2 linked regions of the Sus scrofa genome follow. The protein of the gene in region 2 interacts with the protein of the main gene of each other region in a pairwise test. Links are inferred from orthologs where the notes say so. Each region holds a gene or a part of one and is shown on either strand. Other genes may lie near its edges. The genes, in order: SEPHS1 and ZBTB25.

Region 1 (3,232 bases), on a different chromosome or scaffold from region 2:
AAAGTAAGTTATATTGTCTAGGTAGCCGTTACCTAATCTAGAGGAAGAGGGTGCGTGGGTGTGGAAAGTAGAAGCTCAGGGAAATACACACACACACGCACATGGACAACAGTTAAGTCTTTGGAGCATTAATATCTATGCTTGCTTTATTACCTCTAAAAATAAAGCATAGTATAGCATAGCCATTCTGGACTCTCCTTACAGAGTAACACAGTAAACTAGGAATTCAGACGTAATTCTTTTAAGGGCAATGCTCAGTTCAGACCAGAACTTTTGGCTCACATGACACCAGAACCATTTAAAACACTCGCACTCATTCAGCGTAAGGCAGGCAGAACTTAGATACGAGCTTCTCTTTGGTGAGCTTAGCTAGTCACTTAGGGTGCCCATGTAAGAGATTCCCTAGTCTGGCATCCTGAACATTCTGTCTGATTCTGTGGTCTTGGGGTGGGGCCCCCGATTCTGACTTTGACAAGCATCCCCAGGCGATTAACACAGGTGTGATCTGGACCACTCTCTGAGAAACACCCCTTTAATGCTCAGTTCTTCCTTCTCCATTACAAGGACCTCTAAGCACCCAGAATTTTCTCTTTCTAAACATGAATCTTCACTATGGTCACTATGGTTTCCTCGAGTGCACCATCTGATCAGCTGAGGAAACCATCAGCATTCAAGACAGGATCCACATGGGAAGTTCACATTTAGCCATCACTCCTGTATTTGAAGAGGAAAAGAAAAAAGCTCAACAGTATGTTCATCTCACTCAGAGGTTTCCAACACATTTTATTTTGCAGACCACTGGTTTGCAGCTTTTGAGACTAACATGGGTATCAATCCCTGTGAAGTGTCCAATGAATTTCAGTTCTGCGGCAGCCCTCAGTCCCGAGCACTCAGCTTGGGGCTTGAGTTCCAGTTACACGTGTGAAGAGGATGCATCCGAGGCAGAAGCCCTTCAGGGCCTTGGTCTCCCAAGTGGTGGTTTCCTTTGGCAAGAAGTCAGGCTGTTCTCTCCACTTTGGTGCCTGCAAACGGGAAGCGTTCAGAATGGGCGACGCCAGCGAATGTGGACACTTGAGAAGTCAGTGCACTTGTGCTTGAGGACGGGGTCCCTCCTAGACGCTTAGTAGGTGAAAATATAAGGAAGCCTCTGTTTTTAAGTAACACAGATAAACACCTTTTTAGGTCACCTATTTGTTCTAGAGCTACAAAATTTAATTCAAGAAAATATAGGTCCCATGAAAGACTTAAAAGTTTTATAAAACTAAAATCTAGTTTTCCCCCAATAAATTGTATTTTAGCCAAAACCCTCCCAATGCTTCTAAAATAATACTAAAAAGGGCATCTGATTATACAAGAGCAATAAAAAAAATTAAATATTTATTTGAATAACAAGTTGAAGTTTCAAGCTGCACAGTTGGTGATGCGTTTCCACACAGATCATAGAAAGCGTGCACGGAAAAGTACTGGTGCAAAGGACAAAATAATGCTAAGAATGAAGCTGAGTAGCTGCTGATTTTAAGAAAACAAGAGGCCTGACATCACTATACAAAATATAAAATGTATTAAACACTACCATCCACAGAAGTCTTTATTATTGATTATATTTAAAATTATTTGTGTAGTTAATTATATATTGGCTTGTAAATGAGTATCATACACGGACCCCCCCCCTTTCAGAGGGCAATTCTTTGCTGCACTACCAAACATCTAATTACACTGCAAAAAGTGTCCATTGTAAAGAAAACAGTTAATGATATTACTGTTAAGTATTAAGAAGGCTAACAAAAAAAGAAATAACATTTCTTTTTTGTTTTCAAAGTGCTTTCCATGCAGAGTTGAGCACTTGCCTTGTTTAACTGAATGCACTCTTGGGAAACGGCCTGGGTCAGAGATGCTCTTGCATTAGAAGACTCGAAGGAATCATGCAACCCTCTCACTACTGGGGTACCCTTGTGTCAGTCACCAATCCTGTCCTTCCAGAATATCATTCCAGACACTTCAAAAAGGATCAGACCGATAATGATAAATATACATAAACTGAAAAGACACAGACTGCTATTCAACACTACGACGCATAATGTCTGTGCTACGTGAAAGCACCTTTAAAAAGAGCCTACTCGGCAAGAGATAAGTGTCTAAAGATTCAAAATGAATCAACAGTATTGGATAACAATATAATTCTCAACTCAGAAGCTGCCTCAAGATTAGGTGCATCTTCAGTTAATGTAACAGGAAAAAAAGGCAATGGATTTTATTTTATTAATTGCATCCACTCACAAATCGACCTAAGGTCACCAGATGTGTAGACACAATGAGATTTTTTTCGTTGTTGTTTATAGTCTTTAATTGAAATGATAAAGGAAATAGAGCTATTTAAAACCAAAACCACACGTGGACCCGGCCGAGATTAAGAGGTGGCGCCCGGTGTGGGGTTCACATTCTGGGTGGCCACCTGTGGCGCGACCTCGATGATCCGGGGTTTGTCTATGATCCTGGCTGTGCGGTTCCCCTTCTCCACGATCCCAATAATCCACGCTTGGTGACCTTCACCATATTTGGGGGACTTGATCTCTGCGCAGAACCGAGCGGCTTGCTCTCGCGGTAAACAGATTAGAAGGCCCCCTGGCAAAGGAAACAAGAAAAAAGGATCATGTTAGTTGTGTCGCCATGAGAGTGCTGTCCCTGCCGCTGTCTCTCTCCAAGACTCTGCACTGATATGGCTGGGCTGCCCTCACCTTGTCGGCAGATCACACAGTCATTGAGCAAGTGCTCGGTCAGCTTATCCTGTTTCAACACACACCCGACAACAAACTCCCAGCTGTGGAAATGCCCCAGCTGTGAGTCACCTGAGGCCGTGTGGGGTGTGGGGGTGAGGTGTTTGGGGACCCAGTAACATCTGAGTGGCCATCTTTCCCAGGCTACACTGAAAGGATTTTTTAAAAACAAGAACGAACTTCTCCTTTTCAATTGGATTCTCTACATTTTACCACAAAGAGTATTCATATTTCTTCTCTTTCATATATTTATCTTTTAATTTAAAAATTAAGGTCATGAAAGTGTGCCTCTTAGTGGTTGGGTCCTGTCACTAGCTCTGTCATTATCTTCAAAAGAGAAAAAAAATATATAAAATACACGAAAACAAATCTTCATTGCTAGTTGAGTAGCTAGGCTAGAATATTCTATGTATTTGTTAAAAGAAGGAACACAATTAGGAAAAGATACATGTTAGACT
Region 2 (3,827 bases):
AAAATAGTTAAAATGGGAAGTTCCTGTTGTGGCTCAGCAGTAACGGGCCCAGCTAGTATCCATGAGGACACTGGTTCAAGCCTTAACCTCACTCAGTGGGTTAAGGATCCAGCGTTGCCGTGAGCTGTGGTGTAGATCGCAGATGTGGTTCAGATCCTGCATTGCTATGGCTGTGGTGTAGGCTGGCAGCCGCAGCTCCAATTTGATCCCTGGCCAGGGAACTTCCATATGCCTCCGCGTGGCCCTAAAAAGCAAAACAAAACAAACAAACAAAAAATTAAAATGGAAAACTTTATGTTTATATGTATTTTACAATAATGAAAAATTTAAAAGGGTCTATTGGGATTGGTCCTTCTTAGATTTAAATTACACTAAGTTTATTTCGGCTTTCAAACTATACTAGTATATCTGCTCTAAATAACAAATGAATAGAGGTGTAACTTTGAAAAGCTTTAAATTAACCTCAAGCTCAATTTTCACATATGAATCTAGAATTCAGAAAATAGATGAGAATAACTGCCCAACAAGAAATCAGGAAACACCCTGCAAAATTAGGATCAAGACAACCTGAGGGAAACGTTGGATGACAGGGAACAATGGAATCAGTCAATGAACTTACTTACATTCCTTGAAGCAAAAGTCTGTGTCTATGCATCAGAAAGCACTGAATGTCACTATGCTGGCAATCCATTTCTTTAGTCCTGACATCTTAAGACTCCCTCTTGGGTTTCACACTTACCTCTGACCCCCTCACTGCCATGATTTGTGGCAGGTTTATTTATATATATATATATCAGCACAGAGCTTTGTTAACTGAGGATTTTTAATTGCTCAACAGAGATACCACAAAGCAGACCTGCCACCTTTGTATGTCCTGGGTTTAGTTTAGCACGGTGTCTGTTACACAGCATGTGCTTAAGAGCTGAACCAACTCACAGCTCTTGGATGAGACTTATGTGAAGGCAGTGTTTCTAATTTAGCTTCTACACAATCTCAAGTCAGAAAGGAAACTTTTTCTTTTTTTTTTTTTTTTTTTTTTTTTTTGCTTTTTAGGGCTACATTCATGGCGTATGGAGGTTCCCAGGCTAGGGGTCTAATCAGAGCTACAGCTGCTGGCCCATGCCACAGCCACAGCAATGCCAGATCCGAGCCGGGTCTTCGACCTACCCCACAGCTCATGGCAATGCCAGGTCCTTAACCCACTGAGTGAGGCCAGGGATAGAACCCACAACCTCATGGTTCCTAGTCTGATTCATTTCCACTGCGCCACAATGGGAACTCCCAGAGGAAACTCTTTTGTGTGGCCGAAAAAGGTACCCATGACCTGTCCTCTCCGACAAACTCCTCCCCTTTATGTCATATATTCTAATCATTCTGATCTACTCCATTTTCTGAATGTGCTAGCCTGGTTCATATCTGTTCATATCTTCTTTTCCATGCATTTTTTTTCCTCTTCCTGCAACGTACCATTCTACATTCCTCTACAGCATCTGAAAAACTAAACTCCTCTTGCTCCTTCAAGATCCAGAGCCTCTCTAAAGCCTGTTCTGACCTTCTCAAAAGGCTGCTGACAATCCACTCTACCTTGTACAGGACTTCTATTATAGACATAAGTAATCATTAATAGTAGCAGCTAACAGTGCAAAGCTCTGTTCTAAGCATTTTAATATTATTAATGCATTTACTCTTCTCAACACCATGGGGTAAGTATACTATTCTGGTGTTTTACAGAGAAGGAAACAGGCACAGAGAGATCAATGATACTGCAATTATTTTCTTTACATACATTATCTCTCTCTTAGACTATAAACTTCTTGAGAGCAGGGAGCATAACTTGTTACTGGGGTCTACCCCAGTAGCTGACCTTAAAGTACTCAATAAACAGTTAAACGAATGAATAATTAAATTAAAATAATTGAGGCTAAACTCCTAATTATTTCACGTAAGTTCGTTTGAAAAAACAAAGAGTGTCCTATCACTTTTAACTGGGGATGTATTAAAGCTATTCTTCACTAAGAGCTCAGAATCTGAATACCACTTTATGGCCCTCTCCCTAGATACCTATCATGTGGGGTAATTGAAATTCAAAATAACTTGTTGGAAAAAAATTGGAAACAAATAATCTTTGAACTATAATATGGAATATAAGGTGGGTAGAGTTAAGACACTAAAACCTTGTTATGCAAGTGTTATGGGACAGAAATCAAAAACTTAGTGATTAAAAGCACAGATTTACATTTGAGTTTATTGGCTGCCTAATCCTGGATGGACAAGTTACTTAACAACTCAGTTACAGTCTCCTTTTCTCTAAAACAGTATGGGTAACAGTAGAATTTACATTAGGTAAACACTTAATGTTTGTATTTGAAGGAATAAGCTTTCAAACTTTAGTTGTTTTTAAATTTTAGCTATTATTGTTTTCATTCTTATCTTCCTCCATGGATCCTACACACTGAGCTTAATTAAAGATGTGTAAAAATATATATATACATAAATTTTTATTATTTCCTAAGATGATCCCTTAACAAAGAATCCCCAAAACGATGTTATAATAAGGTTTAACTATATCACAGTATTAAAAAATTCTTCTGATTTATAAAAGCACATCCTTACCTTGTTTGGTGAATAAATATCATCTTAAAATAGTTAGAAAAAGCAGCAAGCACTGCTCTGTGGGCTTTGAAGTAGACATCTCCAATAGCAACGGTGCAATCACACAGAAAACCAAATTCTCGTTGCATGTTTAGCTGCTGCAGAAGGACAAGGCTATGGCTAGCTGTGTCCATTGTGGCTCTAAGAAAAAGAAAGACTATTTTAAAAATAAAACCGGCTAGGAATTCCCGTCGTGGCACAGTGGTTAACGAATCTGACTAGGAACCATGAGGTTGCGGGTTCGATCCCTGCCCTTGCTCATTTGGTTAAGGATCTGGCGTTGCCGTTAGCTGTGGTGTAGGTTGCAGATGCGGCTCGGATCCTGCGTTGCTGTGGCTCTGACGTAGGCTGGCAGCTACAGCTCCAATTAGACCCCTAGCCTGGGAACTTCCCATATGCCGCGGGAGCGGCCCAAGAAATGGCAAAAAGACAAAAAAAAAAAAAAATTAAAAATAAATAAATAAAACTGACTATGGTTCACACAAACCTACAGAGTACAAGGAGACCTAAATTTAAATGAAATTATTCAACGTTTTCAAAACTGTTCATTTTACCCCAAACCTAGCTAACATTAAATATCCCATCATGACAACCGACATCACCCCTGCTGAAATGATAAAATGTGGCCTTTTTAAAATCTGGTAAGAGGGTAGCTTGGTAAGGGTGACAAAGATGTGAAAGGAAGCCTGTCCTTTGCTATCTACATGACTACAATGTTTCTAGTCCTGTTTCCTCACTGGAAAAATGGGAATGAGGTACTTATCCTTGCCTCAGAGCCAAATGAGATAAGTTATGTGAAAAGCATCTTGTAATGGAAACTGCTATTCAAGTGTTAGCTATAAATGTTAATAACGTTATACTGTGTCCTGGCTGGGCTACGGCTGTGTTTACTCCTTAGGAATCCTGTGTGCTCAGGAGACGCTGGCCTCCTAACTACCATACAATATTTGGGAAACTGATCAGTCACAGGAAGTCCAGGAGCCCTTAAGTAGATGTCAAACCACATCCCCAGATTCTTATGGGGCTTGGAGCCCCAGAGGAAAAAAAACCTAAGCCCTGATCTTAACTGGACTCAAGACACATATAAGCATGGAGGTTTCCAAAGAAGCAGAAGATGGGACCACTGGTCTCAGGGGATGAAAATCACACACATGGAAGAACATGCAAAAGAATTC

What was found.
Region 1: the proteins of ZBTB25 (region 2) and SEPHS1 interact in binary tests that used the Homo sapiens proteins (3 or more experiments, as listed by UniProt). The two-hybrid records come from large-scale screens. The link is inferred for Sus scrofa from reciprocal best matches to the Homo sapiens genes ZBTB25 and SEPHS1.

Annotation. Positions count from the first base shown.
Region 1 is NC_010452.4:48,383,315-48,386,546, reverse strand, and holds the end of SEPHS1 (selenide, water dikinase 1), read right to left. Parts: intron 2,623-3,232; coding exon 2,408-2,622; 3' UTR 764-2,407; downstream 1-763. UniProt on the Homo sapiens protein: Synthesizes selenophosphate from selenide and ATP.
Region 2 is NC_010449.5:88,561,286-88,565,112, forward strand, and holds part of ZBTB25 (zinc finger and BTB domain-containing protein 25), read right to left. Parts: intron 2,810-3,827; exon of another isoform or gene 2,794-2,809; coding exon 2,614-2,793; intron 1-2,613. UniProt on the Homo sapiens protein: May be involved in transcriptional regulation.